Linked DNA regions of Anolis sagrei. The main gene of each other region encodes a partner of the protein of the gene in region 2 in a complex. Links are inferred from orthologs where the notes say so. Each region holds a gene or a part of one and is shown on either strand. Other genes may lie near its edges.

Region 1 (6,905 bases), on a different chromosome or scaffold from region 2:
CACTATGCTTTAATTATGTTCACTTTGTAACAATGAAAATACATCCTGCATATCAGATATTTTACATTACAATTCATAACAGTAGCAAAATTACAGTTATAACGTAGCAACAAAAATAATTTTATGGTTGGGGGTCACCATAACACGAGGAACTGTATTTAGGGGTCACGGCATTAGAAAGGTTGAGAACCACTGCTTTATGACAATCACTTTTGACTGTCAAATGTTCTTTAAGTCCTTATAACAGAGCTTTTCAAACTTTGTGTTGCCTCACATCAAAGTGTTGGTTGCAGTGTGTAGGTGTGTTGTGTGAATGTAAAACGAAATGACACAAATCTTAGAACTGTGTGTTATCTTACAAATCATATATTTTTAAATATATAAATGAAAGGTTTTCCTGAAATATTTTGTGTCTTTCTACATTTCATCATTCCAATTAATAAATCTGTCCACATTTCTTTGAAGGGGCTGGTTTAACCTCTAGTTTGCTAGTAAAACTGACTTACCGCCTTGTGAAATGATACATATCTAAAAGGTGTGTGCCCAGCATGACATGGTTGGGAAGCTCTGTCTTATAACAATGCTGTACCAGTGAAGGGCCTTATCACGCTCCCACTTGAGTGGCATTGTTCCACTGTACCTGCCATGGCAACATCCTATGGAATCCTGGGATTACCAGTGAAGGAGGGGACTTTAGGATTCCTAGTCAGAGAGGTCTGGTACCTCAATAAACTGCAAAGGCCCACAGGATTGCAACTAACAGTGCTGTAACAGCGTAGGGCCTTCTTACACCACACTGTTATACTCATATGTACTCAAGTCTAATGCGCCATCGAATCTAATGCGGACCTCAATTTTCAAAACCCTGAAACCAAAAAAAAAAAAAAAAAGTATTTGCTGGCGAATGTAATGCGAAGTGACAAAAGTGCACTCTTTGTAATTTGGCCAAAGAAGGTCTGCTGTGCACTTATAATTCCTTCTTTAAAAACAAAAGTGTTAGAACACCAAAGCTTTAAGCAATGGAACCTTGGGGTGCCTCTATGCTGTAGAATGAAGCACTTTAACTGCCCTAGCTCAATGCTATAGAGTGACTGGAATGTCAAAGAATGCTAATTCCTCACCAAACTATAAATCCCAACATTGCATAGCATTGAGCCATGGGAATTAAATTAGAGATGATGTCCCTCAAATAGGAGCTCCAGGTGCTCCTGAAATAGCTTCGCCTTTAGCTTTGATTCAGCACAAAAAATCATATTACATGAATCTAATGCACACCCGAATTTTGGGAAGGTAATTTAGCCAAACCAGGTGGGCATTCGATTTCAATGAAATACAGTAGTTCTAAAGCAGTGGTTCCCAACCTTTGGTACTCCAGGTGTTTTGGGGACTTCAGCTCCTGCAATTCCTAACAGCTTGTAAAATGGCTAGGATTTCTGGGAATTGGAAATCCAAAACACCTGGAGAACCAAAGGTTGGGAACCACTGTTCTACAGTATTATAGTACTATTATGGAGACCCTGGTGGCGCAGTGGGTTAAAGCACTGTGCTGGCAGGACTGAAGACTGACAGGTTGCAGGTTCGAATCCAGGGAGAGACAGATGAGCTCCCTCTACTAGCTCCAGCTCCTCATGCGAGGACATGAGAGAAGCCTCCCACAAGGATGATAAAACATCAATAATCATCTAGGCGTCCCCTGGGCAACGTCCTTGCAGACGGCCAATTCTCTCACAACAGGAGCAGTTGCTCCTGACATGACAAAAAAAAATAGTACTATTATTCCAGTTTAACTGACCTGTTTCCATCTGCTGTTTAGGAAGTGCTGTTTAGAATGCAGCCAGAGAGCTCTGGGGCCTCACACTACAAAACCCAGAATTCCACGAGATGTTGCCATAGTAATTAGAATAGAATACTTGTGCTACAATCGTATACAATTGGAGATTATCACACTACATTTTTAAAGCAGGCATGGGCAAACTTGGGACCTACAGGTGTTTTGGACTTCAACTCCCATAGTCCTAACTGCCTGTTAGGACTTGTGAGTGTTGGAGTCCAAAACAGCTGGTCAACGTCTGCCCATCCCTACTTTAAAGCGTGGGCATCTCTTTAAATCCTATGGCTGCCTCTTGCATAGTTCTGGGGTTTGCAATGTAATAAGGATAAGGATCTCTCTGGCAGAGGGTTGTAAAGGCGCAGGTAAGTAGCCAGGGGGGGGGGGGGGGCTTGGGGGGCTTTAGCCCCCTCCCCTGAAATTCTCATGGTGGTTCGCGAAAAGGCCTTACTGGTGCATTATTTAAACTGTTATGTTTATTCATATCATGATCTGATCACCGTGCTCAATATATCCCATATGCATGGGGGTATTGGAGTAACGATACAAAAGGTTTGCTAGCGTAGACCCTCTTTCACTGACTCAGCCCCCCCCCCAAAACAAACTCAGCCCCCCCACCCGAATCGAAATCCTGGCTACAGGCCTGTAAAGGCCCCTCCCTAAAGTGCCAATCCCAGGATTTCAGAGGAGGCAGCCAGTGGGTTTAAAGTGGGATACTAACCCTTTAGAAGTGTAGTGTGACCATCCTCACTGCATTATTATAGCGCAGGCATGGGCAAACTTCGGGCCTCCAGGTGTTTTGGACCTCAACTCCCACAACTCCTCACAGCCTGTTAAGGACTTGTGGGAGCTGAAGTCCAAAACACCTGGAGGGCCGAAGTTTGCCCACGTCTGGTATGACCTCGTGGGTGACGGCCCTTTTCAGGCTACTTCAGTAAAATTCCGGCTGTTAGGAATTGTGGGAGTTGGGAGTTCAAAACCCCCGAAGTGTGCCCAGGCCTCATCTGTCCCCTCCTTCTTCCCCGCCTCCAAGGCTCCGGCCCGAGGGCCCTTCCTTCTTCACGTACCGACCGCCTGGCTCCCGCGCAGCCTCTCCGGCCCAGCTCGCAACTCCTCGTGGAGGCCGCGGAAGATTTCGTGCAGCCGCTCCAGGTGCTCCGAAGAGCCGCTGCCGCGACCCTCCATAGCGCCGGCCTCCCGAAACAGGCCCCTGCCGCTTCCCGACAGGCACTTCCGGCCCCTGCACCGGAAGAGGGGCCCGGCACACCGCCCAGAAACACCCACGAGCGCAGCGGAACAGCGCCCCCTTCGCCCTGGAGGGCCTCATTACGCCAGGAAACAGGCATAAGCAAACCTCGACCCTCCAGGTGTTTTGGACTTCAACTCCCACAATTCCTAACAGCCAGAATTGCACCGGGACTGTGGCGCAGCTGGCTGGGAGTCAGCTGCATTAAGATCACTACTGACCAAAAGGTCATGAGTTGGAAGCCAGCCCAGGTCGGAGTGAGCATCCGACCAATTTGTGTAGCTTGCTGTCAACCTTTGCAGCTCGAAAGACAGTTGCATCTGTCAAGTAGGAAATTTAGGTACTGCGTACGCGGGGAGGCTAATTTAACTAATTTATGATACCATAAAAATCTCCAGCAAGAATGCAAAGAATAAGGAAGTACTTCATCAGTGTCACAAATGGACGGTGAAGCAACAGCTCCCCTGGTGGCCAGAATACCCTCATCAAAAGCTGGAATGTTAAATAGCCTCTGTATATATGTGTTGTGTGTCTATGGCATGTATATGTACATTGTAATCCACCCTGAGTCCCCTGCGGGGTGAGAAGGGCGGAATATAAATACTGTAAATAAATATAAATAAATAAATGAAAGAACTCTTGTCTGCTAGAGGTACCTGTGAATGTTGCAATTTGCCACCTTGATTAGCATTTAATGGCCTGCAGTTTCAAGGCCTGGCTGGTTGCTGCCTGGGGGAATCCTTTGTCGGGAGCTGTTAGCTGGCCCTGATTGATTCTTGTCACACATACCTCAAGCAAACAAGAGTTCTTTCCCCCACGCTGAACACTCCACAGTTATATAAACCCCACTTACCAGTTTCCAACTGACCCCTCGACTTCTAAGGATGCCTGCCATAGATGTGGGCGAAATGTCAGGAGAGAATGCTTCTGGAACATGGCCATACATCCTGGAAAACTCACAGCAACCCATTGATTCCAGCCATGAAAACCTTCGAGAAAACATTATACAAACCGAGTTTAACGTCCCAGCCACAAGACAGGTTAAAAATATCAGGGGTAATGTGTTAGGGTAGAACTTCATTTAGCTCAGCCAATATAGATGATACCTTAACCATCATCAAAGGCCACCTTGAAGAGCTATGTCTTCAGGTCCCTCCAAAAAGACTGAATTGTGGTGGCTTGCCTGATTTCCTTGGGGAAGGTGTTCCAAAGCCAGGGGGCAACCACTGAGAAGGCCCTCTTCCTCATCCCCATCAGCCATATTTGAGATGGGGGCAGGACCGAGAGGACGGCCTCCCTGGCAGAGCTTAGAACCTGCACAGTTTCTTAGGAAGGCAATGGCAAACCCTCCAAAAAAAAACTTGGCAAGAAATCCCTGAGACAGGGCTGCCATAAACTGGAAGTGACTTAAAGGCATCCAACAAAAATATCTGAAATATTAAAGCAGATCTTCCTTTAAATATATTCCTGCCCTTGTTTCCCAATTGAGACCAGAAACAAGGAGATTATAACATAGCTTTATTTCTACAGACCGAACTTTGGGTTGTTCATTGCTGCTGAGGAAACCTTTAAATTCCATCATCAATTATCCTTACCAACTTTCCCCCTCCCATCTCTGTTGTGTTACCTGAACTCTTCTTAGTTCAGAACAACATATGTACAATATGATCCGTTGCACCAACTCACATACTGTCCTTTTAGAGAAATTTAAAATGGTATTTCTTTGTCCATATGAGAGACCTTCTTTCAGCAGCCAAAGAGCAAATCTGTCTGTCTCTCTGCAGCTGCATAGCTCGAGCCTGAACAAATGTGCAACAGTATCCAAAAGTTCCAGGCTCAGCCATCACCCTATGCATTGCCCAACCAATCAGCTTCATGCATGTTATTTTACAGTTTACACACACAGTTGTATTCTCCAGCAAGCTTCATGTAATGATTCTTACTTCGTAGGCCAAAGTAGGAGCCTGAGATGTCAGTAGGCAGGCCTCCATTTTGGGAGTTTAGGCAGAGGAGGCAGACATCTTGGGAGTGTAAAATGAGAAGAAGGGGAGGAGCTGGAGCTCCCTCTGGATTGATTAGGACAGATGGGAGGAGTTAAGCACAGAGAGGGGAAAGTGTCAGCTTGAGAGAGAGAAGAGAGATTGGTTTTGGGAACAGAGGAGAAGAAAGGTAGATTTTTGGTGAGCTTAGATTTTTCTGTGAGAGAGCATTTTGTGACAGGCAAGGCTGCATTATTGACCAAGAGGGTCAAAGTAGTTGCCTGGGTGCTTGTGTTGGTTTTTACACAAGTGGTTTGCTCTCTGGGTTAGAGTAGATTAGCTTTTAGAGGACTCTGCTTAGAGTGTAGCTAATTGCTCTGGGGACAACCTGGTTAGGTTTGTCTGGGGAACGCACTGCTGCTGTGTTGTAGAGTGAGGAGTTTTACTCATATCTAAGACAAGAAACTGTTTATAGTAACCATCAAGATTACTGTACTTTAGAAACCATTCAAGCTTGTGTGCCTCATTAAAGAAGATAGTTGTTTGTTCTGTATTATCAATAAGCATATTCTCTAGTTCAACTTTAAAGAAGCCTCAATAGTGATTCATTCCAGTGGGAATAATACTAGCTGTTTTACCATCTTTACTTCACAGTCATCTCAAGGAGCTTAAGGGAGAGCTGGTGGGCAAGGAAGAGGATTACCTCAGGGAATCATTCTTTAATTTCCCAAAGTATTTTGGGTGGTGGCAGCAAATCTACCAAAGTACATACATGTTACTTCACATATATATAAATGCTCTGTGCCAGAATCATATTCCATCATAGTTGTGTCTAGTTGTGGAATTGGTAACTATGATCCTTTAAACTGACGACCAGTGGCGTGATTTAAAATTTTTGAGTGTTCAGCGGTGGGATAGTAACTTTAAGGCTTGATCCAGTATGTTAGATCAAAAACCTGAGGTAAACGTTTGTCCCAAAGTGATCTGGAGGTACCTCAGAAACTGCCCAGAAACCCCATTTTGAAACCCTGTAGTGATGGCTCCACCTACAAATAAAAAGACCTCAGCAACTCCAGTAGGAGAGGAGAGGCAGGAGGCTGAGATGTTAGAGACTGTGACTGAAGAAAGGGTAGAGAGTCCAGAAATGGTGACTACCTCCCTAGAATTGGAAAAGATGAGAATGGAAATTGAACTTAGGAGGATGGAATTTGAGGCTGAGAAAATGAAACATAAGATTAGAGAGAAAGAGAGAATGATAGAAGCCAATGAGAGAGAGAGAGAAAAACAACTTGAGGCTGAGAGAATGAAACAGGAGGCTAGAGAGAAAGAAAGACAACTGGAGATTGAGAAAGAAAGGGAGAGAATGAAGCATGAAGAAGGGATGATGGAGTTGAAATTACAAGAAAGACAACCCACATCCAGTCCAAGTGAAACCCAATCTGAGCCATTAGCCTCTCAAATAAAGCATTTCCCAAAGTACTCAAGAGGGGACTGTGTGGAAAGTTTCCTCGCAAGTTTTGAAAGGACTTGCGCTGATTTTAAGGTGCTTGAGGAAAGAAAGATGGCACATATAAGGCCTTTGATATACACTGAGCTTAGTGAAAGATGTGCACAGTTAAGGGACACTGAGTGTACAAACTATGCTATATTTAAGGAAAGGGTGAAAGTGTGGAGCAAATTAGAAAGACTTTCAGAGAAATTAAAAGAAAGAATGGTGAAAAACCTATTCACAGGTGGGCTCTAGAATAGAAAAAGCTTTACAAAGGTGGCTTGAAGGCAGTAAAGTCTCCACATTTGACCAACTGAGGCATTTGGTTTGCTTAGAACAGTTTTACAAACTAGTTCCAGCCCA
Region 2 (8,031 bases):
ACGACTGAACGAATGAACAGCAACAACAAATATGCAAATATAAGTATTCCAAAATTGGGGTGGGGGGCAGAATCTAAATACTTCTGGTTCTAAGCATTTTGTGTCAAGGCTGCTCAACCTGTATTGATGCTTTATCAATATCAAGTAGAAAGAGATCCTCACCACCAGCACCAATACACATACAAATAAAATAGCAAATGAGCCTAAGGACAGATCTACACTGACCATTCTTCAGTGTGTGGTGGTTAGGCTACACACACTTCAAAGGCATACCTCAGTGCACTTTAAGGGCTTTAAATCAAGCTCACTACAGTCAGAGGAAAGTCCAAAATAAAGTCCTTAATGCACATAAGCACACTCTAGTGTAAACCACATTTCACAGAAAACCCCTTTCGTAGAATGGGAATCACTGTGCAGAAACCCAAAACACTCTGCTGATCGAAGGATGTACATTCCGGTGGAGAGGGTTGAAAAAAAAACCCCCCACATTCTCTGCATTTATCAAGTCCCACAGATACTGTGGATCCTAGAACTGGTTCACGGTCAACCTCTGCGTTATATGAAATTACTATACAGGTGTCAAACCAGTTCCAGTGTTTCCAATGTAATCAGTCACACACCGACACTGCTTCCTTCTATGCCGATTTCAAACTCACCTAAGAACTACAGAAAAAGTGGAAAACACCAAGAGAAATGTGATACGGAAATGCATATCTGAACTGTGGTAGTTGGTCCATCTTCCCTACTAAGCTTCAACACCTCTCTTGTGAACACATAAATGACAGACTTAAGGCCTTTCCACACAGCTCTATATCAAAGAATATCAAGGCAGGAAATCCCACATTATCTGAGTGTGAACTCAGATAACCCAGTTCAAAGCAGATATTGTGAGATTTTCTGCCTTGATATTCTGGGATATAGGGCTGTGTGGAAGGGCCCCAAGTCCATACTCTGATAACGTGGGATTTATTTATTTATTTATTTTGCCTTGATATTCTGGGATACAGGGCTTTGTGCAAGGGCCCCCTGTTCAAAGCAGATATAGTGGGATTTTCACCCTTGATATTCTGGGATATGGGGCTGTGTGGAAGGGCTACGATATAAAATCCACATTACCTGCTTTGAACTGGATTATATGAGGCCCCTTCTACACTGCCACATAATCCAGATTGTCAATGCAAATAATCCGCATCATCTGACTTGAATTGGATTATATGAGTGTACAGTGCCATATAATCCATTTCAAAGCAAATAATCTGGATTTTATATGGCAGTTTAGAAGGGGGCTCTGTCTCCAGAAGACAATCATAAAAAGAACCTTAATACCTGGCTCTTCCGCTGCGCTTTTGATGAATAGGTTTACATCTTCATACTAGTGCATCAACACTTTGTCATTAGAGTACATGCCCTCCCTTGTGGGAAAGCCTGATCCCACAACCACCACTATAATGAGCCCTCCTCTGCAAATAATCTGTTTCTTTCTTATCTCACCTGAGTTTTAATCAGTTTTTAATCAGTCTCTCTTTTAACCATTACATGTAATCCGCCCACTGTCATTGTGATTGTGCCTACTGTAATTTTATATTGCTATGTTTTTCACATGTTCTATGTAATTATGTTGCTGTTGTTTATTGTTTGCGTTTTTGGTTTTATTTTATTGTAATTTGTTGTTTGGGCTTGCCTCATGTAAGCCGCTCCGAGTCCTCATTGGGGATATTTTTTTTTGTCATGTCAGGAGCGACCTGAGAAACTGCAAGTTGCTTCTGGTGTGAGAGAATTGGCCGTCTGCAAGGACATTGCCCAGGGGACACCAGGATGATTTGATGTTTTTATCATCCTTGTCATGCGGGGACATGAGAGAAGCCTCCCACAAGGATGATAAAAACATCAAATCATCCTGGTGTCCCCTGGGCAATGTCCTTGCAGACGGCCAATTCTCTCACACCAGAAGCAACTTGCAGTTTCTCAGGTCGCTCCTGATGTGACAAAAAAAATTGGCAGACGGCCAATTCTCTCACACCAGAAGCGACTTCTGACACGACAAAAAAAAAAATCATCCTTGTGGGTGGCTTCTCTCATGTCCCCCGCATGAGGAACTAGAGCTGATAGAGGGAGCTCATCCGCCTCTCCCCGATTCGAACCTGCGACCTGTCAACCTTCAGATAGGGGTTTAACCTACTGCGCCACTAGGGGCTCCACCATTGGCGAGATGGTGGCGGGGTATAAATAAAGTTTATTATTATTAATATTATATTCTCATATTCAGCCACAAGTGTTTGCCTATGCATATAGGTATGTTGCAAAAATGTAATGAGAAACCTCTAAGAGCCCTTCCATACAGCCATATAACCCATAATATCAAAGCAGAAAATCACACATTATCGGAATGTGGACTCGGATAACCCAGTTCAAAGCAGGTAATGTGGGATTGTCTGCCTCGATATTCCGGGATATAGGGATTTGTGGAAGGGCCCTGAGGCACCTTCCACACAGCTATATAAAATCCATATTGAACTGGATTATATGGCTGTGTGGACTCATATAATCCAGTACAAAGCAGATATTGTGGATTATCTGACTTGATATTCTGGGCCATACAGCTGTTTGGAGGGGCTCTGAGGTTTAAGCTGACTTTCTCACAAGGAAATCCCATTGGGTTCAATGACTGATTCCCAAATGTCATTCCTTTCAATAGGATTGAGACTCCTTTTTATGTTCTCTCCCCTAAAATCTCCCGGAAGGAGCCCAGAGCCACGTCGCAGCCTTCCTGCTTTCCCTCCCTGCTAGCTTTCCTTCCTTCCTTCCTGAGGACTCACCACTTCCCGGGCCCGGTTGGAAAAGTCGCTCCTTGGCCGGGAGCGCTTGAGGATGAGGAGGGCCTCATCGCGGGAGGAGTCGCTGCTGCTGCCTCCGCTGCCGCCCAGCGGGACCCCGAGCGCCTTGTTCCGGGTCTTCACCGTCTTCACGCTGGCTTTGAACAGCAGCGTGATGTCCACGGCCATGGCTGGGCTGAGGCGGGCAGGTGGGCGGGCCTCTCCTGCCCACGCGTCCTTTCCTCAAAGCCTTCCCTCTCGCAACTGGGCCGCGCCCGAAGGTTCCGCCTCCACTGAGTGCCCTCTTGGTGACGCCCTCGCCCTGTCTGAAATTGACATGTCTCATAAAACGTTTCCTTGGCAACCTCTCACTTCCTGTAGGGACTTCCTGTAGTGGAGTAATCTCGTCCCCCAAAGATGTTTGGACTGCTTTCTTCCTGCATCTCATTTTGAAGCATGGCATGATTCTCACCTAGAATCATAGAATCATAGAGTTGGAAGCGATCTCGTGGGCCATCCAGTCCAACCCCCTGCCAAGAAGCAGGAAAATTGCATTGAAAGCACCCCCGACAATGGCCATCCAGCCTCTGTTCAAAAGCCTCCAAAGAAGGAGCCTCCACCACACTCTGGGGCAGAGAGTTCCACTGCTGAACAGCTCTCACAGTCAGGAAGTGAAATGACCAAGGCAGAGACATCTCCAGCTCATCCCCTGTTTGGGTATCAGCCAGCACGTCAGCGACTTAAATCCAGACATAGTTTTATAAGATCTACAGAGACACTCGCTGGAACGCCTCAGCAAGCGAGAGTCCAAAAGTGGCAGGCTCAAACCCAGAACCTCAACCAATGGCTGATACCAAATGAGAAACTCCCCGCTGGGCACACAGAGGACTGGGCGACTTGGAAGGCGCTGAACAGACTGTGCTCTGGCACCACGAGATGCAGAGCCAACCTTCAGAAATGGGGCTACAAAGTGGAATCCTTGACATGCGAATGTGGAGAGGAGCAAACCACAGATCACCTGCTCCAATGCACCCTGAGCCCTGCCACATGCACAATGGAGGACCTTCTTGCAGCAACACCAGAAGCACTCCAAGTGGCCAGATACTGGTCAAAGGACATTTAATCAACTACCAAACTCACAAATTTTGTATTTTCTCTGTTTGTTTGCTTTGTTCTGTTAGAAATGTAATATAATTGACTGGCTGCCCTGACACGAAATAAAAAAAAAAGTCAGGAAGTTCTTCCTAATGTTCAGATGGAATCTCCTTTCTTGTAATTTGAAGCCATTGTTCCGCGTCCTAGTCTCCGGGGAAGCAGAAAACAAGCTTGCTCCCTCCTCCCTATGACTTTCTCTCACATACTTATACATGGCTATCATGTCTCCTCTGGCTACCAGTATTAAAAAAACTCTAAAATTACAACAGCACAACAACAGAGAGGAAACAAACAAGGACATCTAATCACCTCTCAACAAAAGTTTGCTCTAGGCACTGTCAAGCCATTATATGCTAATCAAGGTGGTCAGTTGGAACATTCACACCTAGCTCCAGCAGACAAGAGTCCTTTGTCTCACCATGGTCATTCCACAGATATATAAACCCTTTTTCCTAGCTCCAACAGACCTCACTACCTCTGAGGATGCTTGCCTAGATGCAGACAAAACATCAGGAGAGAATGCCTCTAGACCATGGCCATATAGCCCGAAAAAACCTACAACAACCCATGTCTCCTCGGTTTTCTCTTCTTCAGGCTAAACATGCCCAGCTCTTTAAGCCGCTCCTCATAGGGCTTGTTCTCCAGGCCCTTGATCATTTTAGTTGCCCTCCTCTGGACACTTTCCAGCTTGTCAACATCTCCCTTCAACTGTGGTGCCCAGAATTCGACACAGTATTCCAGATGTGGTCTAACCAAGGCAGAATAGACAGGTAGCATGACTTCCCTGAAAATCTGTATGTGTTAAGAGTGAAAAAGCCTTGGGTGTAATGAAAGTGAAAGCTGCTCCTTGTAGGGCTTGTTCTCCAGACCCTTGATTGTTTTAGTCGCCCTCCTAAGGACACTTCTCTCCCGCGATGCCATATTCACAGCTGTGAATCCCAAGGAGATTTCACTATGCAACACGATTTTTGTTCCTGGGTTATAAATGCCATTTCCGAATTGGTTCTATCATAAGAAAATGAGATTTTTTTTATTAAACAGACAAAACTTTGTGTTTGCATGTTATCCTGCAGCACATTTTGCTATGGTTTTTCAATGACTCTCTCATCCAGTCTCAACCAATTCAACATTGTTTGTGGCAGCCACAAAAACAAAGTTTCTGGGGTATAACAACTACTTTCAAAGTATGTTGTTGTTGTTCATTCGTTCAGTCCTCTTCTGACTCTTTGTGACCTCATAGACCAGCCCACGCCAGAGCTCCCTGTCGGCCATCACCACCTCCAGCTCCTTCAAGATCAAGCCAGTTACTTCAACGATGCCATCCATTCATCTTGCCCTTGGTTGGCCCCTCTTCCTTTTTCCTTCAATTTCCTCCAGCATCGTCTTCTCTAAGCTTTCCTGTCTTCTCATGATGTGGCCAAAGTACTTAATCTTTGCCTCTAATATCCTTCCCTCCAATGAGTAGTTGGGTTTTATTTCCTGAAGTATGGACTGGTTGGATCTTCTCACAGTCCAAGGCACTCTCAGCACTTTCCTCCAACACCACAATTCAAAAGCATCTATCTTCCTTGGCTCAGTTTTCCCTAAGGTCCAGCTCTCACATCCATAGGTGACTACGGGGAATACCATTGCTTTTACTATGAGGATATTTGTTGCCAGTGTGATGTCTCTACTCTTCACTATTTTATCAAGATTGGTCATTGCTCTCCTCCCAAGAAGTAAGCATCTGATTTTCTGGCTGCAGTCTGCATCAAAGTCTTACTTCAAAGTAAGTACCGCACAATTAAGGAAATAACCCTTTCAAACCAAGAACAGATTTTTTACTCCCAAATTTTGTTTCATAGTATCATTGGGAACGTGCTCCCTGCGCAAAAGGTTGTTGTTGTTGTTCATTCGTTCAGTCGTCTCCGACTCTTCGTGACCTCATGGACCAGCCCACGCCAGAGCTCCCTGTCAGCCGTTACCACCCCCAGCTCCCTCAAGGTCAGTCCAGTCACTTCAAGGATGCCATCCATCCATCTTGCCCTTGGTCGGCCCCTCTTCCTTTTGTCTTCCACTTTCCCCAGCATAATTGTCTTCTCTAGGCTCTCCTGTCTCCTCATGATGTGGCCAAAGTACTTCAACTTTGTCTCTAGTATCTTTCCCTCCAGTGAGCAGTCGGGCTTTATTTCCTGGAGGATGGACTGGTTGGATCTTCTCGCAGTCCAAGGCACTCTTAGCGCAAAAGGTGCTGCTGTATAAAAATTGTTGCATTTATTGATCTGAGAGTTGGTTTCCTTTGCCACCAGAAGAGGCCACTGCCTGCAAATGTCTGCCTATTTAGCTGCCAAAAGTTCCTTACAGCTATTTGTTAAACAAAACAACATTAAAACCATGCCCTGTGTATTCAATAGCAATTTAGTAAACCCTGATTTGTAGGGATTTTGTTGTGTTTTTTATGGCCCCTTCCACACAGTCAACAGTGTGGTGTGATAGCTAAATAAACCAATACTTTTCTAGGCTGCATCAATAGTATAATGCCCAGATTGAGGGAAATGATTGTCTTGTTTTATCTATTTTATTGACTCCACTCTTTGATCAGACCTCACAGGAATAATGCGTCCAGTTCTAGGCACCACAATTTAAGAAGGATATTGTTATTGAGAGGAACCAAAAGTAGCCTGGAAGCCAAAACCTTATGAGGAGCAGCCTAGGGAGCCGGGTATGTTTAGACTGGAGAAGAGAAAGTTAAGAGGTGATGTGTCAGACCAGGTGTGGATAAACCCATGCCTGGGGGCCAAATGCAGCCCCTTGGACTTTTTTCTCAGGCCCTCCTCTCTCCCACTGTCTTATCCTTCGCTCCCTCGCTTCCTTCCTTCTTTACCCTTTTCTCCCTCCCTCCTTCTCTTCCATTTTTTCATCCTTCCTTCCTTCCCTCTTTCCTCCCTCCTCTCTTTCTCCTTCCTTCCCTTTTGTCTTTCCTCCCTCCCTTCTCTCCCTCCCTCCCTCCAACCATTCCCTTCCAACCTTCCTTCCAATCATCTCTTCCTCCCTCCCTTCTCTTTTTCCTTCCTCCTTTCCTCCTGGGTGGATGTTTAGCTGGGAGAAGAGAAGGTAGAGTGGGAGCATGAGAACCATGTTTCAAGATTCCAGAAGGTGTCCCATTGAGGATTTCCTGCTGCTTTAGAGACCAGGGCACAAGGGAGCAATGGGTTCAAACGGCAGGGAAAGATATTTGACTGGATGGGAATGACATACTAGCTACCCCCTTTTCTCCTAGAAGTTAAATGGATATTTAGACTTTAGTTGAAGAGAAGAAAAAAACAGAGCCATATTACACACTCTTTGGCTTTTAACCAGCAGCAGGATGGCATCTTCTGTATTATTTTCCTGCAAACTTAAATAGTCTTCTGCCAAGTTGACTTATCTTCACAGCAATTTCCATTAATAGATCACCAAGTTAAAAGAAAATAATTTCAAGTTCTTCTGATGCTTAAAATGTGGAGCCCTGTTAACAGAAGTCAAAGAATTGAAAAAACGACCTCACAATTTGATCTCGTTGAAAACCAGACCATTTTATTTTATTTTTCTCTACCCACAGGCCACCTTACTGAGTTGCCAGGTAAGGATAACAAATAATCTTTGCTACATCATCTGAACTGTTTTTAAGTTGTGACTTGATTAAAACAGTGTAATATAAATAGCTGTTGCATAGGGTGGTGTGTGTATGCCTTTCTCCAGAACGAAATGTGTCCTATGCTAAAATAGATCCAGAATGGGTCCAAGGTTAAAAAAAAATCCATGCTACTAGTTGGTATTTGTGATTCTTATCAGTATTCATTTGGCTACAAGGAGCCCCCGGTGGCGCAGTGGGTTAGGCCCCTGTACCAGCAGGACTGAAGACCAACAGGTCGCAGGTTCAAATCTGGGGAGAGGCGGATGAGCTCCCTCTATCAGCTCCAGCTCCTCATGCGGGGACATGAGAGAAGCCTCCCACAAGGATGATAAAAACATCAAATCATCCGGGCGTCCCCTGGGCAACGTCCTTGCAGACGGCCAATTCTCTCACACCAGAAGCGACTTG

Evidence for each region. Proteins that work in one complex are often made in the same cells at the same time.
Region 1: STX18 (region 2) and VTI1B share a complex: the UniProt entries of both Homo sapiens proteins name them as parts of the SNARE complex. The link is inferred for Anolis sagrei from reciprocal best matches to the Homo sapiens genes STX18 and VTI1B.

What each region holds. Positions count from the first base shown.
Region 1 is NC_090021.1:281,960,822-281,967,726, reverse strand, and holds the start of VTI1B (vesicle transport through interaction with t-SNAREs homolog 1B), read right to left. Parts: upstream 3,070-6,905; 5' UTR 3,014-3,069; coding exon 2,896-3,013; intron 1-2,895. UniProt on the Homo sapiens protein: V-SNARE that mediates vesicle transport pathways through interactions with t-SNAREs on the target membrane. These interactions are proposed to mediate aspects of the specificity of vesicle trafficking and to promote fusion of the lipid bilayers.
Region 2 is NC_090025.1:106,541,916-106,549,946, reverse strand, and holds the start of STX18 (syntaxin-18), read right to left. Parts: upstream 3,073-8,031; 5' UTR 3,003-3,072; coding exon 2,817-3,002; intron 1-2,816. UniProt on the Homo sapiens protein: Syntaxin that may be involved in targeting and fusion of Golgi-derived retrograde transport vesicles with the ER.